Linked DNA regions of Caenorhabditis elegans. The protein of the gene in region 1 interacts with the protein of each later gene in a biochemical or structural test. Each region holds a gene or a part of one and is shown in the gene's direction. Other genes may lie near its edges. The genes, in order: tni-3 and mup-2.

The links.
Region 2: the proteins of tni-3 (region 1) and mup-2 interact in far-western blotting, tested with the Caenorhabditis elegans proteins (one study listed by BioGRID).

What each region holds. Positions count from the first base shown.
Region 1 is NC_003283.11:16,827,284-16,843,112, reverse strand, and holds tni-3 (Troponin I 3), read left to right. Parts: upstream 1-7,984; 5' UTR 7,985-8,003; coding exon 8,004-8,060; intron 8,061-8,104; coding exon 8,105-8,233; intron 8,234-8,281; coding exon 8,282-8,620; intron 8,621-9,069; coding exon 9,070-9,327; 3' UTR 9,328-9,475; downstream 9,476-15,829. Other genes in the region: clec-40 (C-type lectin domain-containing protein), read left to right, coding at 2,052-2,103, 2,200-2,323, 2,368-2,513, 2,556-2,597, 2,883-3,025, 3,188-3,326, 3,379-3,507, 3,583-3,968; phy-3 (Fe2OG dioxygenase domain-containing protein), read right to left, coding at 4,042-4,239, 4,592-4,680, 4,727-4,877, 5,129-5,439, 9,590-9,797; srh-215 (Serpentine Receptor, class H), read left to right, coding at 11,092-11,419, 11,845-12,254, 12,296-12,556; srh-214 (Serpentine Receptor, class H), read left to right, coding at 13,358-13,685, 14,145-14,554, 14,612-14,878; srh-216 (Serpentine Receptor, class H), read left to right, coding at 15,585-15,829. UniProt on the Caenorhabditis elegans protein: Troponin I is the inhibitory subunit of troponin, the thin filament regulatory complex which confers calcium-sensitivity to muscle actomyosin ATPase activity.
Region 2 is NC_003284.9:6,406,925-6,423,094, reverse strand, and holds mup-2 (Troponin T), read left to right. Parts: upstream 1-12,867; 5' UTR 12,868-12,886; coding exon 12,887-12,909; intron 12,910-12,961; coding exon 12,962-13,030; intron 13,031-13,081; coding exon 13,082-13,193; intron 13,194-13,259; coding exon 13,260-13,637; intron 13,638-13,688; coding exon 13,689-13,895; intron 13,896-13,967; coding exon 13,968-14,396; 3' UTR 14,397-14,624; downstream 14,625-16,170. Other genes in the region: ctsa-2 (Carboxypeptidase), read left to right, coding at 1-351, 398-722, 771-916, 960-1,037, 1,083-1,416, 1,520-1,966; K10C2.12 (Ubiquitin-like domain-containing protein), read left to right, coding at 2,335-2,336, 2,386-2,476, 2,769-2,832, 2,877-2,986; T22E5.6 (uncharacterized protein), read left to right, coding at 6,695-6,853, 6,935-7,070, 7,673-7,822, 7,871-7,956, 8,715-8,933; nssp-78 (Accessory protein 7b), read right to left, coding at 9,656-9,813, 10,066-10,114. UniProt on the Caenorhabditis elegans protein: Troponin T is the tropomyosin-binding subunit of troponin, the thin filament regulatory complex which confers calcium-sensitivity to muscle actomyosin ATPase activity.

The sequences.
Region 1 (15,829 bases):
TCATTTTCTCCTTCATGTATCATAAGAACTATTGTTGCTACTGGAGGATCTGAGACAAAAAAATAAAATTACTTTTTCATATGTATTGTAGAAATTAGTTACAGATATAGTTACAGATATTTATAAACAAATTGATCTTATCATATGGTTAAAATATGGTTAAAAGTGTTGAAAGAAAACACTAGCTTGTGAGCTAAATACTGTGTGTTATGTTAAAATCCGTAAACATTCACTGAACACATTTATTCTCTACTTTTCTGAAATGTTTCGCTTGCACAAGAACACAGCTTTGTCATACAGACAATCGTAACCTATCCAGTGTCCTCCGTAATCACCTCTAATGAAAAGACAACTCCCTCTTCTAAACTCGATTATATTGATAAAAGTCGTTTTTGTTCCATCATACCATAGAACAAAGTTGTCTGAAACGGCAACTCCACCAATTGCAATTGCTGTTCTCGGGGAAAATAAGCTCATTGCGAAGCGATTTTCATTTGCAGACTGAATTGAAGCCAAATTAGAATCCAATGATGTGCAATAGCTTTGCGCCTCGCTAGAGAGCTTCCATTCCAAATTTGGGATGTAGCAATGATTGTTGTAGTTGTATTCGCATGTTCTATCTAAAATTTATAGTGTGAATGGAGGTGAACTATATATTTTACAGCGTTACAGTAGCTATGATCTATACTGTAGAATATGTGTGTGTGGCATAAACATTCACGACGAAACAAATATATTGTAATTTTAATTTAACAGTAAGGTGGTCGTAAAACCTTACCATAAATAGTTGCAGGTAGCTCACACACAAAACTCAACGCCTGATTGCATGATGCACTTGCCCATTTGCCGGCTTGTGTTCCAGTAGTTATATAATAAATACAGTCTCCATATTCATTATTTGAAGAACCTGCAAACCGACATTGTAGATGTTTCATTAATTTTTAGAATTGCCTTCGGCAAAGTTGTCGTAGTCGGCGGTGGTTCCGCTTTTGACATCCCAAGTACACCATTTCGGTTCATATCTACGACAGACCAGCCCGGTCCACAGGTTCTCAACCAACTGGTCTTTCACAAACTCCTAAACATCTTGATTTTCCTGTAACTATTAAGTTTAAGACTCAAATTGGCTGTGTTTTTCCGTACCTGCTCGTTTCTAATTGAGAAAAGTGTTGATCCTTTATGATTAAAGCAAGCATGATCAGCATCTGTTCTATTCTGTGGGCCAGTGATCAATTTCCAACACTTATGACTGATATATGTAAACCCAGTAGCGCAAGAATAGTTCCCCGCAACTGAAAATACCATCGATAAAACAAGTATTTTCCGTACCTTATCCGACACCTAGAAATGAAGAGCTCACTACATTCCCACCTGGAGTTGGCAAAGTAGCGGACGTAGAAAAAGTAGAACTTGTGGCAATCCCTATAAAAGATATAAATTTTTATTCTGTTTTACTATTTTCTAAACCTGTTTCACATATTGATTTTCTTGCCAGAAAATAGGTTAATAGAACCGCAAAGATAACGATTATAGTCAAAAATACTCCTTTTTTTAATATGTTCCTCCAGTCATCGACAAGTTGAAGCTTTTTAAAAAACGTTTGGCTTTCAGGTTGATCACATTCTAGCTCTTCAAACAGGTGAGACGATGACATCACAAATTGTTACTTAATTAGTATAAAATAGTTGTACATTTTGTTAAAAAGGCAAAAGTGATAAGGGAAATACGAGAAAATAATTATCTTAAAAATGCCGTTTGGTCTTAATAATACACTTATAGTAGAATGAAATAACTGAAAATCATGATAAAACAATTCAGAAAGTTTGAAGATTTTTAGGAAACAAGCCAAAGTCGGGGTTTTTTTTTTGAGAAAGTTCGGGCTCAGAATGTGTTTGGAACATGAAACATTTTGAGCGCCGAATTTCGAACTGAGAAAACTTTAGGTCAATAAGTGTTAAATTACAAAATCGACTCATCGTCACCATATCAGTCTTATCAATTTCTCTTTATTTGCAACAATTTTAACTTTGTTTTACCCTTTTAATCAATAAATGCTAAGCGGTCTCCGAAAGGTTTTCAGATTTTCAAGGGCAACCGCAGTAGGTATGCAATTTCAAATCACATATCAGTTTTTATTTATCATTGAAAAACAACTACATTTTAAAAATGATACTACAAAAGTATGTACAGGCATTTCAGATGCTCCAGAAAACTACTCGATTCCAAGTGTGTCTGCCGAAGAAACCGAGCCAGACGAGACTCCAAATGAGAGAACAATCGTTGACGCTTATGATCCACCGAAATCAGAGTTTGAGCCAGGAGAGTTAGTTTCTCCATTATAAGCACATGTATCTGAAACAGTTTCAGTCGTCAACGTCATTTCGGGATACTTCACTATACAGTCAATAATCGATTCAAGAAAATGATGCTTATCGGAATTATTAACGTATTTCTAATTCTTGCCTTCTTCTTGTTCATGTTCTTTTTTGTGGTTCAACCGAATGTTCACGGAGGTTCGTGAAAATTTATGACGTGATAATTCCCGTTACTTGCAGGAGAGACTGCAGTGACAACCTTATCGCCTACCACTTCATCAGGTGAGTGTCTAATTCCTCCCAACACACTATCAAGCGAAATAATTATAATCCGATTAATCAGACCGTTTAACATAACATTTATTCAGTCACACTTTGATAAGACACGAACGATGAGGTTTTATTTGTGGGTGCAATGGAGTTTAAATTATTTTTTCGTGAAAGGCAGGGACCGTGCAGAATCATTGTTAGAATTGACTTTTTTAACTGCCTGTTTGACCTCTGAAAAATATTTTTCAATGTGTTGTAATTTATGAACTCTAAAAGTATAATTTTAATTTTTTACAGAAAAAGTCCCAATATGCACCAACAATTTTGTGCTGATCGATGAGAAATGTCTCCAGTTAAATACAACTCTGTACAGTAAACCAACCGCTGAAGCTACGTGTAATCGACTTGGCGCCACTCTCCTCACAATTCAGAGTTCAGAGGTGAGTGTGGTTTTAGGGCCGGAAATTGATGCACGCTGCCTGCCTTCAAGGCCGCCTATGCATGCCTTGTGCCTAGTACCATCAAGTAGGTTGTAGTTAGATATGTAGGCAGGCATAAAGCTGACACAAAATAATATTACCATAAAATAATTTTTGTTTCAGGAGAACCAAAAAATCCAATCTTTCCTCAGCATCCACCAAATCTCTCAAATATGGTTGGGGTTAATTTGCAATGGGAAAAGTGTCACATCTTGTCAGTGGGATAATGGCTCAAATGTCACCTACTATGATTTTGCACCCGGTTTCTCATATCTTACAGGATTTTTCAAGTTCAAGACATGAAAAATTTTCAGGATTCCCAAATGTGGACACCGGAATATGTGTTTCTTATAATATTACACACAATTCAATAGGTCAATGGGAAAGCCTAGTTTGTTATAAACAATTGCCGTTTGTTTGTGAGCTGCCTACAACTACGTCAGGTACGGCTCAAAGTTAGACGACAGAGCGGCCTTTAATTTTAAGCCGCATCTGAAACAGTTACTTCCGAATTCCAGACAACTGCACGAACAACTACAAGAATCACTGTTACATCCAGGTCGACCAATCCGCCACCATCCCGGATGCTCAGAGAATCTGCCAAGCTCAATGCTCCAATCTCCCATCTGTACATTCAGTGACCGAGAATCTCTACCTAACTTCAATTTACAAGTTCTCCGACACAAGTATAATTCTTGGCGGAATCGCTTCTACACCTAAATCGATCTGGTGGTTTGATGGCTCTCCAGTTAACTTTTTGAACTTTAAAACTTCTCAGCGAACTGTTGCCTCTTCTTGTATTGTACTTCATGTTGGTGATGGAGGAGACTGGGATACTGTAGATTGTTCCACTACTGTATCCACATTTTTGTGTAAACGGGCTACGGGTGTCAGTTGTAAATAAAATAATATTCAAATTTTACCAGTATTTCGAGTTTTAAAAAGAAAGAAAAAACATTCAAATTGTTCTACAAATATCAATTGGGCACTGGCGACTGTGTCTGCATTTCCGGACGGAATCTGTTTGAGAGAGACGGTATAAGCCACGAAGCATGTATGGAGGAGCCAGCTGGAGCCATCGGAAGGATACGTTGATTGTAGGCACGGATCCAAATAGTCGCGATCACCTTTCGGCCCTCATAGATTGGACATCCACCATGATTGCTGAGCATCTCCTGGAAAATTCAAAATAAGACTCTGACAGAAGTCAAATTGATCCGCAGCCAAGGCTTTTTTTGGCGGGATCCCCGCGTCTTCTACATTTTGGGAGCAAAGTTAGCAAGCTTACAGGTGGCTTTATCTATCCGCAAATAAACTTTTTCTGAGCCTACATCCGCAGCCGACATCGAGCGAGGACCACGGTGCCGCGCCGGCCTTCCAGCGACCACAACCACGCTGTTCCACGCTGCATGTCGCGTCTTTCATATAGTGCGACGCGGAACCCAAAAATTGTCCGGCGCTGGCTTTGTTTTACGGCAGGCGTAACGTCCTGAAACCGCGCCTGCCTCCCATGGAAGCCCTAGTTACCTTCTCTTCATCAGCCTGTGCGTTGAACCAGAAAAACGCGTCTCCAGCGTTGGCGCGAACTGTGGAACCAATACTTGGGAATACGGTGCCTGTAAAATACAGCTAGCTCAATGTCCTGCGAAAGACAGCACATACCTCCACCCTTCTCAGCAGGTTTCAGTACAAAAATGAGAGTTCCAATTCGGTTTCCCGTCTTGTTCATCCACCAGTCGTAGTCCTGTTTGCTACGGTAATCCAAATAGTCATAGTGCACTGCGTAATGACCACCGGGCAGGTAGGAGAGGGCCTGGAAAGTTGATTTTTGAAAAATTCCAACATTTTAGCGCTAAATTTTGAATTCAATTTTCAGATGGAGCAAAGTTTCAACCTTTCTGAAAGTATCTGAAATTTTCAAATATTCCAGAAACTTCTGGAATTTTTTGTAAACCATTACAAATTTTTTAAAAATTTTTAAAAGTGTTTTTTTTTTGGAACTTTTAGAAAAAATCAGGAAGTCTAAAACTGAGTACATCTGGATATTATTTTAGAAAATCATACCGAAAAATGTTCGGCAACGGTAAGGTTCAAGCCGGGAATCCTTTTCTGAGCCTGCATCTTTATTTCCACTGTAACATTCGAATCTTCCGGCGGAATAAAACTACCGTTGGCCCGTCGATGCGTCGTTTCTATCGATGTCCCGAAATCTGACGTTTTCTGAATCTCCAAATCACGTTGTTCGATGAAATTCAAGAAACTGGCGGTTTGGCGGGGGCTCATGAGATTACGGTAGATCACAAGTGTCGGAGCCCAACTGATAATTTCCATGTCGACCGGGAGCATGTTGTAGACGTAGGTGATGCAGATGGAATCTGGAATTTCAGAATAAATTTCACTGGAATTTTAAAGCCGCAGTACAAAATTATCCGCAACAAAACAACCTGTGCCCCTACAAAATTCTCCAAAGTATTTTGCAAGCTGTGTCACTCATACCCATCATTTTTATTATCTCTGAACTTTTGTTTCCTCCATTTCACTACGTCAGTTGTTGTGGTGGTTATACATATTTTATTGGCAAGTGCAGAGAGCAAAGCTGGCAGATTTCAGAAATAGTGGACTACTCAAAAGCCTGTTCCGGCCTGAAATTATTTCATGTAGCCCGGAAGAGGAGCTACTAGCCAAGTATCCTCTCCGTAAAGGTTGTCCAAAAGTTCCGGCAAAAATCTGAGCCCAGTGTGCTCATTGAGCAAAAACGTCCGTGAAAAAAAAAACTTGTCAACCCACATATCATGTTCCTTCTAGACATCAATCTTCTATGTTGATCAGGGACAACTATTTCGAAATTATTAGCTTTTTTCCTTGAAGAAACCCTTTTTTCTGTTCGATATCTATGCCTGATTAATGATATTTCGGAACAAAGCTCAGAAATTCTCGAAAAAAAATCAAAATGAGGAAGCTGCGGTGCTGATCGGAGCACATATGCTTCCGATTTCTTGTTGAGTGTTTGGCACAGAAAAAACAAGCATAGGAATCAAAAAATTTGCTTCAAGGAGCTTGAAATAATTGAAATTAATTCTGGAAACATTCAAATTTGCTCAGAAAATTGAAAAAAAACAGTTTTCAAATTAGTTGTAGTATTCTATGAAAATTAGCTCTCAAAATCCACCTTCAAACTGTACTCCAGTATTTTCCAAATTGCTCTAAGAAGCCTCGAAAAACAAAACTCAAAATGTTTACAACTAATTTCATTTTTATGAAATTGGAAAGCTCTGAGCCTTCGAAAATCAGTTTTCAAACGCGAAAAAAAATCCTGGCTCCTTCAAATTTGCTCTAAATCATTTGAAACTTAACTTCGAAAGTCCGAAATTTTCCTAACTTTTTTCAAAAAATGTTCAAAAAACCCAAAATTGACCTCCAGACTTCCCATTTTTCTCCCAATCATCAATCTTTTGCCACCTCAAAATTTGCGACAATTGATGTGGTGGCAACAACTGTTCTGATATCTCTCTTTTTTGCAAATTGATCCTCATTTTGATTGGCACCGGTGGTCTGATAAAAGGGATTCCCCCGGGGAATTCCTGCTAATTTCCGAATTCCCCTAGCACATTTTCTACCACAGAAAAAGAAAAGTAAGTAGTATTCCCAAAGCTTTCCCGTGAGAGCTCCGAGAGCTCTAGGCTCACACACACACATGTCGTTTCTATCTTGCGGCAAAAAGTGATGATGGGTTTTGAATTACCGCCGTTTTCACTAGTGCTTCTTGCCCGCCTCCGCCATTCTTTTTCGCCCTGTTTTATTACACTGTTCGCTTCTTCGTTTTGTTTCGTATGCAATATGTGCATCAGCAGTAGGAGCAAAAGTTATAGACGGGAGATAGAGAGAGAGTACAAGATGGAGGCGGAGAGCAGGGGAAAACAGGGAGGGAGGGGGTTCCGCAGGAAAAACATGTTTTAAACTTTGGTTTTAGTTTTCAGTCTTCTCCTCCTGATTCACTCATTCTGCCATTCGTTGTGATCAGATTACGTCATGCTTTTTGATTTTCCAGGTCTTACTTTTTTACCGTATATCTTGTCTAGCCTGATTAATATGCCATCGGCCGGGTTTTTTGCGGCTGCCATTATGAATTGTGGTTTTGTGAATATTTCGTAAAATTCAGTCTGCTGCAGCAAGCTTTAATAGAATTTTGGAAAACCCTGTGAGATGTCGGATGCATTGGAAACTGTTGGTCTTGTGAAAACCAATTCAATGTCGGCTGCAGATTTGTTTTTGTTTTTTACACTTTTTGCAAAACTTTCTTGCAGCCAACATGTCCTGGGTTAAACTAAATTGTATCAATGTCGGCGACAACATTTTACTTTTTAAAAACTATCGAAGCTGCTTGCAGCTGATTTCTCACGGGTTCCCAAAGTTCCGCTAAACCCAGTTATGTGTCGGCTGCTATAACGTATCATCTAAATATAAATTAATTTCCTTGCACCCGACATTTCCCGGGTTCACAATCTATTACGTCTTAAAATTTTGGCTGGAAAAAATTACAAAAACCTCTGTTTTATGGAAACTTGCGGCCGACATCTGCCGGGTTCAACAAAATGTCTCGATGCTTTAAATGTACAAAATACACCCGGTTAAGTGTCAGCTGCAGATATCTAAGCCTATACTGAAAATTAGTTTGCAGCCGACATTTCCCGGGTTTGCCGCCGCCGCCACCGGTCGGCTGCGTCGGCCTCTTTAGGTTACCGTAGTATCTTTCAGAACATTTTATGTTCTTTGTTCTAATTCTCAAATCCCATTTCTCTACTAACTTCTTCCATATGCTATTATTTTTCCTTCCTGCTCCGCACACATACTAATCAAGATTTATTGCTCAATTTCTCTTTCCCGCCCCGCTTGCCACTTCTCACAGATCAACTTTTCCAGGTCATTTTTCCCCGCCAAAATGCTGATTGAAGACGAGAACATTCGCTACGGCGGAGCTCAGGCTGATGTTGAGGACGTAAGAAGTTGCTCAATTTTCAGATTACTTAAAATTAATTTCAGGATGCCGCCCGCAAGGCTCAAGAGCGTGAGCTCAAGAAAGCCGAAGTCCGTAAGCGTATGGAGGAGGCAGCAAAGAAGGGATCCAAGAAGAAGGGTTTCTTGACTCCAGAAAGAAAGAAGAAGCTTAGAGTGAGTAAAGCCTTGGCTGTAACTTTTTAGATATCAGAATAATTCCAGAAACTTCTCATGATGAAAGCCGCCGAGGACTTGAAGCAACAGCAAATGCTCAAGGAGCAAGAACGTCAGAAGACCCTTCAGCAGCGTACTATCCCACTTCCAGACGTCGACTCGATCAATGATCAGGGACAACTCTTGAAGATCTATGAGGATATGTTCGCCAGAGTTTGTGCTCTTGAGGAGGAGAAGTTCGATATCAACTTCGGAGTATCCCAGACTGAGGCAGAGATCAATCAGTTGACTATTCAAGTTAATGACTTGAGAGGAAAGTTTGTGAAGCCAACATTGAAGAAGGTGTCCAAGTACGACAACAAGTTCAAGTCATCCGGAGAAGTTAAGGTGAGAGATTGGAAATAATGAATTTTGTAGAAACTTTTCGAAGCCTCGTTAGGTGTCGGCTGCTGCAAGACAATTTTTGAAATTTTTTGAACAGACCAGTTAGGTGTCGGCTGCAAACTATAAATGTGGGCATCTAACTATTGCGTTTGCAAAACAGATGCAGCCGACATCTTTGGGGATCACCCAAAGCTCGCTAATTCCCGTGAACTGTCGGTTGCAACAACTTTTCGTGCCAAATGCAGAAAACACCAAAAATGCGTTAAAATTGTGTAAAAAAATGTTAAAATGCTCAACTCAAACACGGCAAACCACTATTTAATTTCGGAAAGAAAAATTTGACTGAAAATTTCCATTGAAAAATATTCCGATATCTTTTTAAAAACATTTTAGTTTTTTTAAAGTTCTCAAATTGTTCCAATTGATTTCCACCAAATAACAATAAATTTCAGGAAAAATCAAACTTCCGCAACAACCTGAAAGTGGTCAAAAAGGAGACGGACCTCGACGAAATCATGGCAAAGAAGAAGGGAACCGCCGACGGAAAACCAGAATGGTCCAAGAAAGAGAAGAAGGAAGAAGAGGCTGCACCAGTGGAACTAGCTGCTCCAGTCGAGCCAGAGGCCGAGCCAGAACCAGAAGCCGCCGAGCCAGCAGCTGAAGAGCCAGAAGCCGAAGAGGAAGAGGAAGAAGAGGAGGAAGAGGAATAAGAAGTGGTGATCTTTTTGTAGATTTTTATGTGCTTGAGCTTATTGATTTTTTATTGTCAAAAAAAAAATTAAATATGATAATCGCATTTTTCATTGCTACTTATGAAAGTTAATGGAGAGAAATTGAAATAAATCTTTTGAAAACTGATAAACCCCCAAATTTTGCTAAGTAGCCTTGCTGCAAGCGCGCTCTGCGGACAAAAAAACGGTATATACCAAATATAAAATTATCAACGGAGCGCGATTACACACAGACACTCACCATTTTTCTGCCATTTCGTGTCCTTTGTCTCATCATCACAAAGCTCCAACTGATCCGTGCTCCACCATTTTTCACCCAAAAAATTCGTGAATTGCTCGTTGAAATCGTCCTGGGCGAGCAGCCAAATATGTCTGCATTGGCTGTAAAGCCACGTGGCACACAGTAGAGAAACAAGACCCAGAATTTGACGGAAAGTGACAGAAATCATGATGGTTTTCTAAAAATAAATATGATTAAGTTGCGGAAAAAGCGGAAAGTGGGAAAGTTTATCGAAACAAAAAAAAACAACAGAAAAGAAAACATACCGGCGACGGCAGAAAATGCAACTTCAGTTTTATCCCGATTTCCACGTACTGAGCACATTGTGCAAAATGAACTTTTGGAGAATAAATGGAGCAAAGGGTCGAAAAGGTTCAATGAACTTTTTCACGCTGAAATATATTTGGGATTTTAATTTATTAGAAACGTTAAAAAATATATTAATTCTTAAATTGACAGTTTTAAATTTGAAAGCTATATTTTCAAAGGATCTGTAAATTTTTTTCAAATAGGATTTTGTATTTTTGGATATATTTCTGTTTTAAAAATGTTGCTTCTTTTTTTTCAAAAAAAAAAGTTAAATTTTTGAAATGTTGTCGGAAATTTTTAAGAAACATTGGATCAGAAAAATTCCAAAAAATTCAGTTTTCTTAAAATAACGGGCAACAAATTTTCAAAAACACAAAAACTAGGCATCCGCGCCTTCACGCCTGCTTACCTACCTGCCCTACATCTCTTTGTCTGCATTTTGGAGTGAAGTTAAAACAATGGCATTTTCCATATTACAAATTTGATTACTGAAAGCTCAACAAATAGATTTCAAAATGTTCAGGTGAATTCTGTCTTTAGGCAGGCAGGCGTGTAAAAAACTTACCTTTGAGAACATTTGTCCTCGATTTGTGATGTTTCAAAAAAAGTAGACTGAAAAAACGCGTTGTTGTCTAACTTCCGCCATTTATTATTAACATTCTAGTGTGAAATTATCAACTCTGGCATATACGGGGTGCTATAATTATGTTGTCAGAAGAATGGAAAAGCAATTATCATTGCCAAAACGGGCTCGGATATGGCATTTGCAAAAAAATGAATTCGCTAACAAGAGACTGAGTTCCGACTAGTTGTTGTATATCTTCCAAGTTATCATTTCATATTATTTAATTTTTAAAAAAAATTTTTTAACAACCTGGAATTTCAGTGAGTTTTTTTTCGAGTTGACCTGAAATTATCTATGGAGTTTCGTTAGATATCTGAAAACTTCAGTTCACGTTTACAGGTGAAATAACTACTCATAGTGCCAACCAATGCCAGGCGGTTTATTTTTGGAGTGTACACAATTTCAACTTTGAGCTCTAAACTTTCACGCATGGTCAATGATTTCAAGCAGCTGAAAATTTCGGTCAAAGTTTGAACCCTCCTCCTCCTTTCACTAGGTACATTTTGAGTAGTGTTACACAAATGATCAAATGGCGCCTGCCTATTGCAACCAAACCGGCTACCTACACACTGCCGATTTTCAACGATTGGTGCTCCATGTCATCAGCTTTATCTCGATTCCGATCCACGTGTTCGGAGTTTTCTGTGTATTTTTCAAAACGCCGATATCTATGCAATCCGTGAAGTGGAGTATGATGAATGTTCACTTGTTCAGTTGTCTTTTGGATTTGGGATTGAGTTTTTTGACGACACCATTTGTATTTTTTCCGTTAATGGCTGGATATCCGCTGGGTTTTTTGGAGTATCTAGGTGTGGAAACAGAGCCTCAAGTCTACATGATCATTTTTATGGGAGCATGTAAGTTTGTCCTGAACTCTGTAGTTTTACTTGAGCACGGTATATGTAGGCTTGGCCTGGTAGCTGGGGTTAGAGTGCCGGCCCACTGTGATAACTTGACCTTTTCAACAGGCCTATTGATGTCACCCAAATTTTGTTCCCTACATTAAAATGCCATTAAAAAATGATGTTGGTCGCAATTAGCCCAAACTTTATTAACTTCTGATCTAAATTTGGTTCTGTGAAAATTGCAAGCCGAAATGAAAGTCAGATTCTTACAGTTTATGATATCAGCTTTCAAATAACATAAATTTCAAGCCAATCGGCCAACATAATTTCACAGGGTTATCTAGTAAGGCTAGTAAGGAAAGCATGCTAAAAACCAAAGGACCTTAAAAACTTAAACGAATAGTAAAACACCTAATAACCATCCTAAAAATTTCCAGACTTACTGGTGGCCATTAGTATTGTCTTTGAGAACCGCCTGTTTGTCCTCGTAATGACCAACAAGAACCTTCATCGCTACGCCACTCCGATCTACCTTATCCATTATATAATACCACTAATAGTTATTCCAACTGTCATCAAAATCCCCGATCAGGAAGAGGGTAAGAAGAACTTCATCAATTTATTTGAATGTGTACCTCCGTATGTTGAACTGAAGAATGTATTCTATTTGATCCTTGTCAAGAAATTCTTTCTTATAAGTTGCGGAATTTTCATAATGGTTTTGTTCTTGGAAGTTTGGTTCTTGGCATATATGACTGATCGGAAGCTAAAGCAGCAGATGACAAAGACAATGTCCCAGAAGACTGTAGACTTGCATCGCAAGTTTCAAAGAGCATTCATCTTGCAGGTGAGTCTATAAAATGTAAATGGCTCTATATCCATATTCAGCTCCTCATCCCATTCCTGATCGTCTTCGTTCCACTTGGCTACATCGGGTTCACCGCGATCTTTGACTATCACAATCAGTTTTTCAATAACTTGACATTAATTATAATATCATCTCATGGATTCTTCTCAACGATTGCAATGGTAGCTCTTCATGCTCCCTACCGGGAATATACATTGAAGTTATTTCCATTTTTTAAACGTCTGAGCTCCTCGCCTACAAACCTGACTGCACCGCAGAGTGTAATGGTGACGAATATGTGACATTTTGGGATAAATTATGAGTTTCCAGAATTTCTTTGCTTTGAATTATGTTGTTCTGTATAAAATGAAAAAAATCTTTTTTTAAAGAAATCGACATCAATAATAAAGCGTATTAAATTTGATAGATTTTTCAAAATCTCAATTTCTAAGTAGTTTTTGGATCAAAAATAAGAGAAGCGTCATTCTGCGAGCCCACAGGTAGGGCTTCCATGTAGGCCCCAAAACGCCTGCTTCGCGCCACAAGTTGCGCCTTTTTATAGTGCGGCGAGGAACCTGAAAAGTGTCGGCCGCAGCGAAAAAATCACCTTTTGCACTATGTTATGTAGACACCAAGCCTTTGATTCCCCGACAGAATGCAGACTTGAGGCGATGAGGCAGGCGTCAGGCCCTGAAACCGCGCCTGCCTCTCATTCATGTCCTACCTGCGAACATAAATTGAGTCCTGGAGTCATGGGGTCCAAGGGTCCAGGGGCAAAATGGTATCTGTTTTTTTTACGTAGATTATTTTTCGGCCAAATTCACAAGCTATACAATAATCTCTGAACCCAGACTCGTGGGCTTTCACTTCTCTTCTATAAAGTTCAAATACATAAGTGCCTATTGCACCCAGACAGCACCGCGCGCTGCATTTCTGATCGCTTACTCAGGAAAAACCAAAAAACCTCAAAACAAGCAGTTATGTATAGCATGCCTATAATTATTGCCGCGAGCCAATTTTCAAGTTCTCCAAAGACTTTTGAGACAACTTTTCTAAACAAGGTTCTTTGATTATTTGATTTTGCTCACTTTGTTTCAATTGTAATGGTATACGACTACTGCAGCATTACTGACTACCTTTACACTCCGGACTTTTTTGAGACAGTACTCCATGTGATCAGTTATATCTCAATTCCTGTTCATTGCTACGGAGGCTTCTGTGTATTTGCAAAGACACCGATATCTATGCAATCTGTGAAATGGAGTATGATGAATTTACACTTGTTCAGTTGTCTTTTTGATTTGGGAGTTAGTTTGTTCACGATTCCATATATATTATTCCCAGTACTCGCTGGATATCCATTGGGGCTTATGCAGAAGTTTGGAGTACCGATTGAAATTCAAGTGTACGTAGTGTTATTTGTTGGAGCATGTAAGTGGTTTTATTGGCAATTTGATTATAGAAAGTTGCATTTTTCAAATTTTTCTTGTTAGTTGAAGTTCAGGCGAAAGTAATAAGGAATTTAGTTTTAAAAGTTTATGCTCCCTAATGAAGTTTATGTGAATTGTAATAGGACCTTTCAAGTAGGCTACGACAGAAATTGTTAGCTGCAAAAAACTCTAAGAACTAGAAAAAAGTGGTTCTAAAACTTTTTATGTCAGGCCTTTTTTTTGAAAATTTCTCTGAAATTTTGGAAAAGCAGTAGTGTTTCAATTTATACCCTGGACGTTAAAAACTATAATCTTGTGTTTTCTGGCCAATTTTTGCCAAATATTTTGCCAAATCCAAATTTTTTTCAACTTTCTTCAAACCTTGGTCGGGTGACTTCTAAGCTATTTGGCACAGAAAATACCGAAAATTGTTCTAGTGCTCAAGTTTAACCCGTTTCAGTCATGTTGGTCTCCATCACCATCGTCTTCGAAAACCGCCTATTCGTCCTTGTCCTCTCCGACAAAACCCTTCAACGGTTCCGTACTCCAATCTACATTCTCCATTATATCCTTCCAATAATCTTCCTCCCGGCACTGGTCAACATTCCCGACCAGAAAGCCGGGTACAGAAATTTGATGGACCATTTTGAATGTGTTCCACCGTATGTAGATATTAAGAAAGTTTTCTATCTTGCAATTACTAAGAGATATTTTCTGGGTGGATGTGCTTCATTTATAGTTGCAATGTTTGTTGAGGTATGGTTCTTTGCATTTATAACGAATCGGATGTTGAAGAAGCAAATGACAAAGACAATGTCACAGAAGACTGTGGACTTGCATAGGAAGTTTCAGAGAGCCTTCATTCTGCAGGTGAGCCTATAAAAGCCTTCAAGATTTGAGTTAGAAGCTTCATATCTATAGATTCAGCTCCTCATCCCATTCATCATCGTCTTCTTACCAATCTGTTATGTCGGGTTTTCTTGTTTCGCCGAGTCAGCGTTCCACAATCAGGCATTAAACAACATCACAATAATTATAATATCATCTCATGGATTCTTCTCAACAATTGCCATGATAGCTCTTCATACACCATACCGGGAGTATACACAACAGTTATTCCCGTTTTGTAAACGTCTGGACTTTTCGTCGTCCAATCAAACTGCACCGCAAAGTGTGATGGTCACTAATATGTGACGAGTTTATCTCGTGTTGGCTCCCTTTTTTTCTAAATCTTATTTTTATTTCATGTGTGCAATAAAATTTTTGGTCTTATAGAAAATCTTTTGGTTTCAAAAAAGACGTTAAAAATTTGTTAATTTTATGCAAAAATTTTTACAGTTTCCAGAAATTTCCAGACGTTTATTTGTTTGAAAACGTTTTATATTGGCTCTCTATATTGTTATGAAACATGTAAGAAAACAAGTTTCAAAGCCATTTTCAAAATGGGAAAATATTCTGAAAATATCACTTCGACTTTTTTCCAGTTCAAAGTGCTCCTATGCGGTTCAATTTTTTGAAGGGTCCTATTTAAAAGTTCCTTTTCCAAAAAAAAAAGGGTTTATCTAAAAAAAAAATTAACTCGAACACTTTCTTCCTGTTGAGTGCTAATAGTTCTCATTTCTAAGATCATACGAACCTTGCAAAGGAAATGGGAATAATTATTGGTCAAGTTGTAGTAACCAGAGAAGTGGAGTATGATATTATCGCCACTAACATTCATGCGCTAGTCTATGATTATTTCCACAGACAGAAAAGCAATTTTTAAGCTGAAACGAGCTTTTTGAACAAGAAAAAGAAGACAATTTTCTCCGAAAATGACAAGAATTACTCATAAACAAAAAACTGGCTTTCTGGTCATTTGATATTTTTATTTTTCTTCAAAAAATTATTATTCAGTGCAATGTCGTATGCCTATTGCAATCGTACTGACTATATTCATACAGCAGATTTTCAACAAACTGTTCTTCATGCAATTAGTGTTATATCAGTTCCAGTTTATGTCTATGGTTTTTACTGTGTTCTACTGAAAACTCCGCCAACTATGCAATCGGTTAAATGGAGTATGATGAATGTTCACGTGTTCAGTTGTATATTCGATTTATCACTTAGCTTCTTCACGACCCCATATGTATTGTTCCCGGTGCT
Region 2 (16,170 bases), on another chromosome or scaffold:
CATCCTGATTATTGACTCTCCAAGAGGAGTCGGATTCTCATATCAAGATAAGAACGTGAACAACGATACAACATGGGATGACGATAAGACCGCTTTGGACACCTACACCGCTTTGGAAGATTTCTTCGTTACCTATCCACCACACAGAAACAGCGAGCTCTATATTACTGGAGAATCATATGGTGGAGTATACGTTCCAACTCTTACTAGACTTTTGATTCAAAAGATCCAGGCTGGACAATCTAACATTCAGCTTCGTGGTATGGGCATTGGAAATGGAATGGTCAGTGCTGTGAACGATGTCAGAACGCTTCCAGATTTCCTTTACTTCCACGGAATTTACGATAAACCGTAGGATTTTCATGATCACCGTCTAGATTTACTGTTTTATTTTCAGAATGTGGGAGAAGCTTCGTGCTTGCTGCCCATCAGCTGATTCTTCTGGTGACTGCAATTATGACTACTACATTACAATTGATTCTGGAGTCAATGTAATTGCCAAGCAGTTCCCTAACAACCAGACACTTCAAGACTGCGCGAACCTTGTTGAAAACTTGTCGTATGACAGAAACTGGAAGGCATTGTACGATCAGTATAATTTGTATCAAGATTGCTATGTTACACCAAGAGACCAGGCAAATCCATTTGCGATGAAAGAGAAATTCTCCAGGCTCGACGTGGACCACAAGTTGAAGACTTCTATTCCACAGGCTATTACCAAGGTTTGTACTACAATAGAAAGTTTCAACGAAAAACCAATATGATTTCAGACTGCCCCACAAGATCCATTGTCGACTGATGCTACTGGGGGATACTCGTGCTGGAGTTTAGGAGCTATCAACAACTATTTAAGTTTGTCTCACGTCCGTGATGCACTCCATATTCCGGATTCAGTTCCAAGATGGGGATTCTGCAAGTGAGTTTGTAATTCTTGATTTTCAATGCTAGCTATTTTTCAGCAAAATTAACTACGCTAATCTCTACAACGACACAACTCAAGTATTCACCGACATTCTTAACAGCGGTTATAATCTCAAGTAAAATGGTGAAAAACAACATTTTATTGAATAAATTTTTTGCAGGGTTTTAATCTATAACGGAGATGTAGACTCTGTGTGCTCAATGTTCGAAGCCGAGTCAATGATCAACAACTTCGCCGCTGCTCAAACGTTTGTTTCGAACCAGCCAAGAGGATCGTGGATGTACGGAGGACAAATTGGTGGATACGTTCAAAAATTCCAAAAGAACAACATGACTATTGACCTTTTGACTGTCAAGGGAGCCGGACACATGTCACCAACTGATCGTCCAGGACCAGTTCTTCAAATGATGAACAACTTTGTCCATGGGCAAGGAAACTATAACACATCAATTGCTGTTAGTATGGTGCGCCAGCCACTTCTTGCCCAATTCCTTGTAAGTTTTCTGGGATCATTACTTGAATTAGAATAATTTTAAAAATTTGCTGATCAGTCTATTTTTAACCCACAACATAAAAGTCAAAGCGAATGTTTTGCAGGAACAAGGAATTGGACCAGTTGGAACAAGTGCTCCAGTTGCTTCAACCAGCACAACAAATACGCCAAGCCCAACCAATCAGTCACCAGTAACTCAAGCACCACCAGTAACTCTACCACCTCCTTCAGTAGCAACAGCAGGACCTACTGGGCCTATCTTAACCGTTGTGCCAGTTTCATCTGCTCCAACATCAGGTGCTGTCTCCTCAACAACAAATACGCCAAGCCCAACCAATCAGTCACCAGTAACTCTACCACCTCCTTCAGTAGCAACAGCAGGACCTACTGGGCCTATCTTAACCGTTGTGCCAGTTTCATCTGCTCCAACATCAGGTGCTGTCTCCTCAACTGCAACTGCTGCACCAGTAATTACTACCACTAAAACTTCTTCAGTTTTATCGGTCTCTTTCTCTATGTTTATCGTTTTGATTACCAAGTTTTTATTGTAAAATAATTGTTTCCTGTTGTAAAATACTATATGTGTTCAAAAAATAATCCGAATATTCAATACTTCCAGGTTCTAATGAAACATTTCAAAATTTAATGGGTATTTGTTTATTTAAACACAGATAAAAACCAATATTAACATCATGCACGAATACATTTCGTATTTTCTTATTTTTCTATTCTTCCATTTGTTTTTGATTAGCCCAAATTATACTGTCATGTTTATCCAAAAATTCGAGAACGTTTGGACACAAAAACGATAATTGCGGGTCAGAACAGGCACTTTAATTTCTGTGCAAAATGCAGCTTATTAGAAAACATATAAAGTGTGGCGTCGTCTCGAAAAGTTGACCGGCCACTCAAAATAAAGATGTAAGTTTTCTATTTAATTTTTCAAAACTTTAACCGCAATTATTTCCAGGCACATTAAAGCTATCGTTTACAACAAAACCAGAAAGTATGCAGGACATACTATTGATTTGAACCTTGGAGATAATGCTACAGTAGCTGAGGTAAGCTTTACACTTCGAGTGATAAAGTTGACAACCAAAAGTATTATACGTGTTTATTGTATGCCCCTATCAGAAAAGTAATTATTTTATTTTAATTAAAGCTTAGGAACAAATTATTTGCATGCCTACATATGTAGTAAAAATTCAAATCACTTTTAATTAGAATAGAGAAATGAATGAAAATTTGATTGATTTTGAAAATAAATACATATCATACTAAAGTATTTTTCAAATTCTAGAAAATCTATAAATTTTCATATCTTCTAAAACCTTCCTATGTAAACTGTTTCAGGCAAAATCTAAAATTGAAGAGATGACTACTGTTCCTTCACAAATTCAATGGATTGTCTTTGGGAGTAAGATTTTTACCTAAAAAATTACAAAAGTCTAATGTTTCTAGCAACTCACCTAGAGGACTCCAAGCCACTCCGTGAATACGGAATTCGTGATGGATATACTATTTACTCTACTCCAACTTATGTCGAGATTCAAGACATGCCAAATCTTTGATTTGTTTTTTTTCTTAATAAAGTTAAATTGATTTATTTATGATTTGAATCTATCTGTAAGAGCAAGTTAACTAGTAAAAGGTGATATTTGAATTCTGTTATGAGATGTTCTGAACATTGATCAAAAAACTATATCGTTTGAAACATTTGAAAAAATAGCCTTTTTTCAGCTAAAATCTTATATTTTGCCAGAAATATAAGATTTTAGCTATATATATATATTTTTTTTTTGTCTGGTGTTTTTTTTTGAGTATGACCCATTAATGCATATTTTTGTAACTTATTACGTGTTCTTTTCTTAATTAAGATGTATTTTCAGTAGACAAGTATGCAAATGTGATACTATTTTGTGGACCAATATACTGAAAATGTAACTAAATTAACGAAAAATGGGTAATAGATAACAAAAATATATATTAAAGGGCGGTAGTCAGTTTAAAATCAAGTTCCGTGTTTTACAACACTGACGGCATTTTTTCCAAAACTTTAAACATCCATACTTTTTTTAACAGAAGGTCTAAGAAAGTTGGTAGTTTGGGATTATTTTGGTTCTGAAAAACAACGCCTCAGGTTTGGGTGAAAAAAAGAAACGTATATACATACAATTATGAAAAAAGTTTTTTGTTACAAGTCAAAATTGAAACATGAAATCTTGGATTTCTATCTCTTATTCATGCGTGTCTTGAATTGATTACCCCTCTTCGCCTCAACTTTGTTGGCTCCTTGCTTTTGACCATTGAGCATTGTGTCAATTTTGGCAACTCTCGGACCTCTGCAGCCAGAAAAATACATTTTCTCGCCCTCCCCTCTTTCCGTTGTCTTCTCTTCAATTCGACGATGACAAAGAAAGAAATCTTTTCATTAGGTTTGGCTTTGCGAGAAGTGTTGGAATGAAGATGAGTTGAGCAGGAGACACTTCTCGTTTTCTTATTCATTAACGCTTTCATATGCCATGAAATCGATTCTGATGCTTTTTTTCGTGTAACATCTCATTATGAGCGGAAATGTTTGTTGAAGGTGCACAACTTGTTGATATCACGTTTCAAAAATTGTTTGCTTTTTGGTTTTCTGAAAAACAATTGTAGAATACCCCCAATTCTTACTTTTTTCTTTAACACTAAACACGCAAAGTTGTTAACACTATACTAATTAATGAATTCATGCCCAACCAATGACTTACGCACATTATTTTGATATTCACCGTTTGAAAGTTGAGTTTAAATTACAGTTTTATTAAGTTGGCAAGAAAGTCCTGTCCTATTTTTCAATCATTTATTTCTCGAAGCAAACTAAAACAAGAAATCAGTTATATGTTCCATCATGATCAACAACGTCCTGCCAACGTTGAGGTAACTTGTGGATCCCCTGCCTGTAGAATCCAGCGGGCAGGGACTCGAAGTATTGCTTGATATCAGATTTGAAATTTTCTCTTGTTTTGAAAGCTATACCTTGAAGGGCAAGAGTCAGATCGGAGAAAAGCCAATAATCACTTAGAGCAATGTCAGGAAAATTCGGTGGTAGAGGGAGAATCACCCATCCATATTTTGTCAGATCCTGCACCACTTGTTTTAAAACATGTGGTTGAGAGTTTTTTTTTTTTTTAATTTTTTTTCAATCGTTAAGGTCTCAACAAAACACTATTCAGTCAACGTTTTGGTAAATGTCCGAAATTTGGAAAAATTGTTAGAATTTCCCCTTCTGGCGTCAGACCATTTTTGATATTTGCAAGTTAATTTTTCGTTCAATTACTTTAAAAGGAATAGTGTGCCATCTAAATTGCAAATGACTCTCCAGACTTTTTCACGTGTTTCCAACAAAAATATTGAAAAGACAACAAAAAAAATTAAAAATGTTGGGTACTTTTAATTGAAATTTAAAACTGCTGTGAAATATTTTAAAGACATTTATATTAAATTGTTTTTGGGCTCAAAATATTTTTAAGGAAAAAAAAATTAAAACAAATGTCTTTGAAAATATTTTCTTAACTAATTTTCATTAACAAAACTTTTTATTCAGACATATTCAGACGCGATGCTGTTGTGAAATTTTTGATGATTCTTTCGAAAAAAAAATCAAACGAATTATATTTGAGTTAAATTCTATCAGCAAATGTTCCAACGGGCAGTTCCATCACTCAGCTATATCTGTCAACGCGTTTTCTCTTTCTCCTTTTCTTCAAAATGTCAATACTCAAGTGGCGTCCAGCACTCTTTTTGCTATACTACATATGCTTTGCTACTATAGCAACCAATTGCTTTTTGACTTCTTGAGAGGGAAACGGAGAAGAGGATTACCTCTCTTCATCAGTTTGTTTTTTTTTCCTTTTTCTTGAGTAGCTGATTCATCAAAAAATTTTCGGTGGTTGAAACAGAAAAGCACTTTCAAACCAAACAATGAAAACCGGCAGAAGAGTTGCCTTGATATTTGTTTTAATGAAAAAGCACTGTTTTTATATTACTTTTTACAACTGGACAGAGCCTGAGACAAAGATGAGCAAATTGCGAGGAAAAGATTTTGAAATAAGATTGTGAGCAAGAAGTTACACAAACTGCTTGGTCTTTCACTCAAGTCTTTGTTTCACCTGCTTTCTCATTTTGTTAAATTTCACCTGAAGTGTTCCGTTGTATTTTGATCTGCAAAAGAACTGTTTTGTTCTGAAAGAAACTGTTATAAGAAAAACACCTGTTGTGTTTTGAGATTTCATTAATTCGCAAAAATCAAAAATTTTCATTGATTTTTGGATGGTTCTTAATTAAAATTTTTTATTCAATTTGCGATTTGGAATCTAAATTTTTTAAATGCATAGTTTTCCTGGTATATTTTGTAAATTTTTTTAGTTTTGCGAGAATTTGAATCCACAAATTTTGAATCAACAAAGTTGATAATTTTCCGAGTTGTTTTGTTGATATTACTGTTAAAATTTCAAAATTTCAAGAAAAAATTTATAACAATTTTTGGCAAATATTTTTGAAACAACTTTTTATTAATTTATTTATTTTTCCAAAAATTCGATTTTCCCGTTTTACACAGAACATTTTCGAAACTGTTGTACACAAAACAATATACCATCTTAAATTAACTGGACGTCTCATTATTTCAACATATTGACTTCTGGCGTCCTTGCAACCCGAATCAATGCGTCTCCCGCGCATCTATTGTTGATTCATTGAAGTTATGCAGAAACTGGTGGATGAGATAGCGCTATTCAGATGTAGATCGCAGACGCTTCTTACTGTCTCTCCTCTATCTCGGGTTCTCGTTTTCCCACATTTCCACGACGGCAATACGATCTAACAAGAAGAGGAAATGGGAGAGAAATGACAGGTAGAGACTGCTGTATAGCTATCCTTGTTTCTAAATATCTTAGGAATTGGTAGTCAGACAACATTTTTTGTTGTACATAAGGTATTTGAAAATGAAAACAGTTTTATTGAATAAAAAATTCGAGCAAGTGCAAAAAAAAACCAATTCAAAACTCATTCATACATTTCTAAACAAGTCGAAAAGCAAGTAGATATCCCATCTTCAAACTTGAATTATTTTCACTTTTCCCTCTATTCTCAAGTCAAAATGCAAATGTTTCCCAAGAGATTTCTCTGTTGGCCTCAATCCTCATGTTTTCTGTGCTATTTTATATATAATTTGAAATTTTTTTTTTTTGAAAGCGCAAACTTTACTTATTAAAATTTCTGTATTTCAGCTTTTCACAATGCCGGGAAGTATATCAAGTACTCCGGAGAGTCCAGATATAATGCGTTTTGTAGTATCAGTTGGTTGTCTCGTTTTTTCACTTATGCTCACGTCATTTGGAATTGTTAATAATGCTTGGATTGTTTTGGACAGACCAAACGAAAACGATGAGTTTCAGGTAAGTAATTTTGTTAAATTTCAATTGAGAAGAATAGGGTGTTTAAGTTGTTATACTTGAATAATTAAAAATATATTTCAGAGAGGAATTCGAGGACACGATTGTTACCGTAACAATGCACCAGGAAACGAGAACATCTTCTGCCTTCCATGGGATTTTGAAGATAAAGCGGAAAAGTTTCCAGATCCGTTTACCAAAGTGTTGGCCGCTTCAACTGGTACGTTGTTTGAATTTTGCCAAAACTCCCGATTGCCGAAAATATGAAAAATTTCCAAATTTCTCTATACGAAAAAGTTCACGTTTCAAGCTCAATGTGTCTCAAATCTCAGTTTTCTGAATCTGTTTTCTGGAACACGACTGAGATGACAAATTGTGCCAACATTTACTTTTTTGTTTTCAAAATGTAGTCACGGATGAAAATTGGCAATTTTGGCATCATCAAAAACTGTCAAAACAACCGAAAATTAACATTTTCAACAATTGCTCAAATTTGAGTCGGCGAAAGTTTTTAGAAACCAGAAATTGTGGAAATCTGTTTTTTTGATTGATTTAAAATAATTTATCATAATAATTAAACATTAAGTTAAGTTAAATAAATAAATCAATCAATAATTAGGCATGTAGGTCGTCCCAATTGTTTTTTGGCCTGCATTGCAGATCTCGATAAGAATTATCTGAAAATAAGGAAACGATAAACAAACGTTTTAAGTTTTTTAACTTTAGTTGAAAGTGTTTCGATGTGGCTGTAATAAAAAATAAAGGTATTATTTAAAAATATATTATAAGTTTATTTTTCTCCACTAAATATTTATTTTTCAGTTGTTCGAGTGACATTCCACATTGCTCTGGTCATATTGGCGTTTCAAATTTTCTACCTCGCATATACCATTGGACACTGTTGTAGCCAGTCATTTACAGAATTGACAAAAAAGCGAAAACTCGCATTTTTCCATGCAATGCTCGTTCCAGGTGCGGTTCCAAAACGTGACTACAAACTATTAATGCTTATTTTTGCAGTTGGCCTTTGGATTATTCTCCTACTACTTGTACTTTACGAAACTTACACTGATAATCTTCTCCCATTGTCTCTGAGAAAAGAAGATGTAAGATTTTTACGATGATTCAAAGAAAGTATAAAGTTACTTCATATATTCCAATCGAAGCAGAAGGGTTTCTAGCCTTTAATTCAATAAGCTGTTTGTTCAGCGAAGCGTACTATGAAAATTATTTTTAAGTGTTTTGGTATTGCAACGAGTGTTCTTTGCAAATTTAATAGTCTTTTTTCGAAAGGGTGTATTAGAATCATAAGCTGAAGTTATCTGACGCAAATATGATAAAAATAAATCGTTATGATTTTTACGATTACTTTTTTTAAAAACTTCATACTGAGGAAAATAAAGTTATAATATATTTTGAAGTACTTTATTAAATTACCAAAATCTCTTGTTTTCATCAATAATTTTTCACCCACAAAAAATGTCTACGAAAAAATGAACATTGAAAAAAACCAAAACGTGATGTAAGGTCTGAAAGGTTACCAGCCCACCAATAATTGGAGAATTCTAGGTCATTATAAGCAAATATATAAGTTGTATTTAGCTGAATTCTTCCACTACTCAATAACCTACATACATTTTTAAGACAGAACGCATAAATTATTTTGATACTTCAAATTTATCAAAACGTTATTGATATCAGAAAATTATAGAAATTTCCTAGCTTTTTACTAAAAAAAAAAGTGTAGACGAAATTTGAAAGTTTGAGTTTAAAGAAACATATTTTGGTAAAACGAAGCAAAAAACATATTTTAACTGTTTCCTAGCTAATTAATTCTTGTTATTCAAAACGATTTTATTTTCAGTACAAATACAAAATCGGATCCGGCTTTTGGTTTTTCTTCCTCGGTGGCCTACTTCCATTTATTGGAGCACTCTACTTCTTGTTTAGAGAGCAGATGGATGCATCGAAAACTCGTCTTAGAGGACTTATCAATCGACATCAGCCAATACCATCAAATGTGAACGAGAGTGACCGTGACGGGGTAGAACTGGTCAGGACAAATCATGGAGGAAGGGTGTAGCTTGAGTCTTGCTCAGCAAAATATTGTCAATGTTTCTGAAGCTTTATGTATTTTTACCGATGATTTTATCTAACAAGGAAAGGTTTTTATTTTCCCGTCCCGACAGACATCAAAACGAGAGATGTGCATTCTGCACTCTGAACTCCAACCGTTTTGATCTGAAATTTTTTTCTCTACTTTCCAGCCAGTTTTGGCAGACTTTCGACATTTAAGGATGTTTATGGGTAAATTATCATTTCGGAAATTTTAGTTTTTGAGTGGTACTGAGCCGTTTTCGATTTGATGTCTGAGGGTTGAAAACCTTTCCTTGTAGTTCTACATTACACTAACAATGCTCAAATTTTGTTCAGTCCCGCCGAATTCCAGATCTCAATTTGTTTCTAAATGTATTTTCAGAAAAAATAAAAACATTTTCAAATGATGACGCAATACATATTTATATCTAGAACGGGATCTTCGAGGACTGGAAAATACGTCGTTTTTAGTGTCTCAATCACGCTGCCAGTGATTCCCAAGTGGCCCTCGCAAGCTCGTTTACATACTGATGGGAGCTAAGAAAAGATGCGGAAGAAACACAAAGAAATTCAGAGTATTGTTCTACCATCAATCATGTTTGAGGCATGAAGCGCTACTTTTCGGTGGAAGTTTATCGGTATTTGTTAAAAGAGTGGATAAAAACACGTCACTTTAATTCACTTCATTTTTAAATAAACACAAAAAAATCAAAATAGAGCGGTGAACCGCGAACAAGGACATAATTGATGGCGGCAGACGAATGCGCGACAGCAGAAGCACACCTTGCGATCCTCCTCCAAGTCTATAGTCTCCTCAGGATCAACTTCTGCTCGGTCAATCATTGCGATAAATTTACTGCATACTCCTGAAAGTTAAACAATATTTATAAATGCTGAAATTAATGTGTTAAATATATGTTGTTGGTACTTTAAACTACTTTTACTTCCTACATATTTCAATTTCAACATCACTCTTTTCACTTGTCAAGTCAAAGTAACTAACTAACTCCCACACACACACATACTTTAAATTGAAATATTGCAAGTACAACATGCAGCATGAGAAAAAAGTATCGTAAAACAAAGTATGAAACATTTTCAAACTATGAAAAACGTACCTGCAAAAAGGCAAGCAATCAGAAGAAGTGTGATGAATTTAGGTGACATAGTAAATCTTGTCAAGTAAATACCAAACAAATTGGGTGCAAAAAGAACTTAATAGAAGTCAAGAGGGACAAGTCAAAGTGACGAAAAAGGCGTGTGGCTCCCACTCGAGTTCACAGCTACCCACAGATACCAATTTTAGAACTAGGCCCCGCCTCTCTCCTAAGAAATGGGGTTGAGTTGAAATGCATGGCGTCACTTTTGGGTCTAAATGTGGTGCAGTAAAGTATTAAATGTAGTGTTTATGAAAATAACAATTTTACATAGAAAAGCTGAAGTAACCTGGAAACTTTGAGCAAAATAAAAAATATTTACACCCTTTAAAATGACTCGACTAAAGTTTAAGATTATATCTTCGTAAACTTGGGAATCTATAAAAAGAAAAACTAAATAAAACGATTATTGATAACCTGAGTAATATTTAAAACTGGTTAAAAAACGTCGAAAGTCACTGAAACCCTCTGAATAAATCAGATTTTTTAATTGATTTTGATTCCAACCAGTTGCCAAAAATACTTCCAGAAACATCTCTGAAACGTGTTTTATAGAATAATAGGAAAACGCGCTAAAACACGGTAGCTGCTTGTGATATACACTCATATTTTCAAGACTTAATTTTAGCCATAATTTTTTGAAACACCAATTCTCATTCCTAAAGTCTAGCGAATGACAGCTTTTTAGCAACAAATAATCTAAAAAATTGCTAATCAATAGATCTAATATCTTAAAAAATAGTTCAAAATGATTTTCACAGAGTGAAACTTAGATTTTTAACTACAGAATTACAAATAATTCTAAAAGTTTTCGGTGGCATTAAGCGTAGAATAGCGCGATTGTGGAAAATTGATAAAAATCTATAGTGCCAAAATGGCCAAATAAAAATTGTTTCAAATTTCATGGTCTACCTATGTTTTAAATAATAATATTCAAACATTTTATTCGCTCGAACATGCGACTGTGCTATTTTTTCTCAAAAAGTGATAAAAACTTAGTAATTTTCACTTTTTGTGTGTCAATTTTTTGAATATGTGCAAAGAGTTTTTGAAACTTTTTACTATGATATTTGATAGTTTTGGTACTATAAGAGTGGTAGTTCAGAAAAATTACCCCACTGCCCCTACTCCACCATAGACTAATTTGCTAGTTAGAAACCAAAAATACAATGTTTCAAAAAATATGTTATAAAATACAAGAAAAATACAAGGTGTCAAAAACATACATTTTCTGAATAAGGGTAATTTTTTGACATTTTCGAAAATGTAATCTATATCTTTGATCTCATATGTTAATATCAAATTAATTAGACTAAAGTTTTGAAATTGATGATTAATTACTACATTTATTTTGTATTTCACAAAGATGTTCGTATTTCTTAGAATAACACTATTTTTTTGCAATAATTTAATTAGTGTGGACTGTTGTCACCACATTGAACACACTTTTCGTAATTTTTTTGCCTTGTTTATTATTATGTTCTTTGAAATTAATGTTTTATTTATTATTTAGAATCAATTTTTCAAATTCCCTTAATTGGATCCCCGCAACTGAACCAGACGGCCAATTGACACTGGCTTACAAGAATTTGAATGAAAACGTCTCGAAGATCATCAGCTGCATTCAAATGAAAAGAAAGAATATTTGTATTATTGTTTTGCGTTTTTACAATTGTGCCACCCAAATATTATTCGTATGCTCGCCCCGCTTGTCTTATTGCAGGGGCCACTGTGAGTGGATTTTTGGTGGAAACGAGCTTGTTGGAAAAAGATGATAGCCGATTGGCAAGGTGCCTCGGTAAATTGGAAACTATTACACAAATATCATTGATTTCTAAACATTGAATTTTGAAATTTAATATTTGTAGAAATATTAAAATGATTTGTTTACTTTAAATGGATCAATTTTAAAGAGCACTACGTTTTCATTTGCGCGTTAAAATATTTAAATAAAAGTGATGATTCATTGAAAATTCGTAATTATAAAATAAGTTTACCGTATTTTACCTAAATTTTAACAAAACTTTTTGAACCACATAAATATTTAACGCGTTTTTATTATTTTAAAGCTGACCAATTAGAATTAGTGTGCAGTGGAAGATACAAGAATAATAGGAAAATCACAGTAATTTCTAAAACATATTAACTACTTGTTAGAAATTTTTATCAATTGACCAGTATAAACTATGTTGTTTTTTTCAACTTGTCCAAACTCTTCATCATCATCTGTCTCTTGTTGGTCCCTTGTCTGTGTCAGCGTAGGAGGAAGAGATAGTGAAGTGCACATCTTGGTGATCGAGAGAGAAGCAGAGAAACCCGTTTCTCGAATCAATGTTGGTGATTCAAAAATATATTGAGCCTTCGGATCGAAACATGATGCCCTATTTCTACGATAGCACATCACAGAAGTCTGCGTATTCTGAGGAAACGCAGACTGCCCGCGGGAAGCCCCAGGCAGAGAGAAAGACGAGAGCCACACGAGGAGGGCACGGCTGCTCACTCTGCGTAGGTGTAAGGTTTACAGCACAGATTGTGTCCGTATGTTATACTTTTCTTTTCCCTGAGAGCTCCCGCTCCCGCCAGCCCCTCCCACTTATCTGCCAACGACGGCCTCCCGGAGCAAGCACTTTCATATCTCTTCATTGTCGATTTCAACATCCCACCGGCACATACTCAAATTTCCTTCTTCTTCTGTGTCATCACTTCTTATCAATATGTTTTGAGATTTTGAATTTTGAGAATTTAACTTTCATATAATTACAGAACCTAAACCTAACTAATCATGTCCGACGAGGAGGAGGTATAGTAAGTTATATACCTATCATTTTTCTAGACATTCTAATTTTTAATTTTTTAGCTCTGATGAGGAGGTCGAGGAGGAGGAGGTCGAGGAGACCGAAGAGGCCCCAGCTGAGGCTGAAGAGCCGTAAGTTTAAGCTTTGAATTCGTGATTTTTTGTATAACACTGAAATTGTAGAGAGGAGACCACCGAGGAAGTAGTCGCTCCACCAGAGGTCAAGGAGCGTCGTGCTCCAGTCCAAGAGGAGAAGCCACCAGCGGAGATGACTGAGGCTGAGATTGCCATGTTGGTGAGTATAACTTCTTGGGAGACCTTCCGTTTCATTCATAAAATTGTTAACCAAATTCATATCTAGGCCGCCAAGAAGCGTCACGAGGAAGAGGAAGCCGCTAAACTTCTCGATTACGAGCAGCGCCGTGTTCTTGAGAAGGAGCAAATCGAACAAGAGCTTCGTGAACTCAAGGAGAAGCAAGAGAAGCGCCGAGCTGAGCGTGAAGAGGACGAGCGTCAGTTCGCTGAACGTAGACGTCAAGATGACGAGCGCCGTCGCAAGGAAGAAGACGAACGCAAGGCTAAGGCTGATGCCGAGAAGATCCGCAAGAACGAGGAGAAGGTCCGTCGTCAACAAATGATGGCTGGAGCTTTCAACGGAAGAGTTGAAGCCGGAGCTGGACGCAACTTCACTGTCGCCTCCAAGGGAGACCAAGCTGCTCAATTCGGAAACTTGGCTCAGGTATTTTTATTGTATCATTTTTAAATCGAATACTAATTAAGAAACTTTCAGGCTAAGGGAGGAAAGGATGTCATGAGCAAGGAACAGATGGAGGATGCCAAGAGAAACTTCTTGGCCGCCGTCTGCCGTGTACAAGACGTCTCTGGACTTCTTCCAAACGATTTGAAGGAGAGAATCAGAGGCCTTCATGCTCGTATCGTCAAGCTCGAGGCTGAGAAGTACGACTTGGAGAAGAGACGTGAACGTCAAGACTATGACGTAAGTTTAAACTATTCAATGAGACTTATTTGATATTGTGTGTGACATTCAACCAAATTTCAATTACTTCAGATGAAAGAGTTACACGAGCGTCAACGTCAAGCCGCCCGTAACAAGGCTCTCAAGAAGGGACTTGACCCAGAGGAGGCTGCTTCCTCTGTCCATCCACCAAAGATCACCACCGCTTCTAAGTTCGACCGTCAAACCGACAGAAGATCTTACGGAGACCGTCGGTACTTGTTCGAGAACCCAGAAGAGGAGAAGCAGGCTTCCCTCGTCCGCGGAACCGGACGACCACCAGCAGAGTGGGGACGCAAGCAAAACGAAGAACTCGAGCAGATCCGCAAAAACTTGGAGCCACCAAAGTACGTTGAGCAGGTCAAGGTTGAGGGAGCCAGAGCACCAGTCGAGCCAGTCCCACTCTTCGTTCCAACTGATGACTTCGAGCCACAACAAGTCACCGAGGATCCAAATGTTGGAGAAGAGGTCGTTGTCGAATAAATTTCCTGTTTTTTACCTTTTTTCATTTCACAATTTTTTGATTATCAAATTTATTAAAATAAACCCAATCCCAACCAAAAAAAATCCATTTTCTAATATTCCAATCAAAACTTTTTGCATTTGTTTCCAATTTATTAACCAATTCTCCAATTCTTCAAGTACTCTGTTTCTGCATACTCTCCGGTTTGTGCTTATCAGTAAAGTCTTTATCATAAAAATTGCATTCCCATTCGAATTGTAAGCATTTCATGAAACAGATTAAAACAAGAATTCGTGGAAAGACAAATTTTGATTATAATATTTATTATTAAAGTTTGAATAAGTCGAGTCAACGGAAAAAATATATATGAATAATATAAATTGAAAAAGGAAAGGACTAAGACGGAATTGGAAAAATATGAGAAATTGGGATCTAGCTAATGAGAAAAATAATCGTTTGAAAGCGGTGAGAAAAAATTTGCTTACAACAGCAAAGTTGATGAATTTCTGGGGCAAAGTTTTTTGTGGTAGGAGAGAAAATCGGCATGACACGCCACAGTTTGATGTGTGTAACAAACTAATCAGAGAGGCATTTGAAAACATTCTATGATAAAAATTATACACATTATCAAATTCAAAATCAAGTTATCAAATTCAAAAATAAAAGTTATTGGTTAGATTTGAATAAGCAAAACAGATACGAGACACACATCTGGGGCCAATTTTGAAAACGACCTGGGGAATTTTTAGAGTTTGGGGAGTAGTTATGGTTGGGAAGAACATCTGGAAAGTCTGACAAATAGGCCTCATAGTATTTGCTTATGTTTTTTTTTCGCAAAGTGAGAAATGAAAGCAACGGGGCGAGAACAGTGAGGAACTGGGTTTCAGTAGAGAATTACAACCGAGAAGCAACAAAGTTTACACCAGGAAATCGAGAAATGTACAATAAAATGACAACAGAAAAATAGAATTTTGAAGTGAGAAGAAATAATCAATTGGGATACAAAGACTAACGAGCATAAATTTTCAATAATTGGGATAGAAGTTGATGAGAAATTGGGAATTGTTTTGTTTTAAGAATGAAAAAAATTGAAAGCTTTCGTTTACAGATAGTGTATTCAAAAATGTACCTAGTGATGAAATTACTAATTTGGAGACACAGATATCACTCAGAATGGTCTTTCATTTGTGGATTTATAGTTTTTAGAATGTTGTGAAAAAGTACAAAAAATTCAAAAAAAAAATCGAAAAATATTCGGGTAAAACAGGTAAACAAGTTCATTACAACCAAAAGATTTTCATTTCAAAAAACAAACTCAAAAAATCGATTTTCAATGTGTAAACGTTAATCGTACAATGCGTTTCATCTGATTAGTACATTTTGAGGGAACTTAGAATTCGTCTTTGACATTTGAAATACTGAATTTTAGAAGTTTCACTTATGTTTTTTCAGCTAATATCATGACATTTCCTGACTACAAAACCAGGAAAATGGAAAAAAACAAAGAAAATGGGCTCACAAGAAGATTTTTAAACCTCTAAAATTATTTTTTAAATGTCTAAGCTGAATTTGAAGTTCCCCTAAAAAGTGTATTAGCCACATGAAAAATATTTTTGAGGTAACATTTTAAATACCGAAATTTAGGAGATTATTAAGATTTCTTGAAAAAAAAATGTTCACCCATGATTATAACAAATCATTTTTTAAGAATCAATTTCTTTTTTATTAATTTTACATATTATCACCATTGTATACATTTTCGTACTTTCTTTTACATACTTAACATGTCTGAAG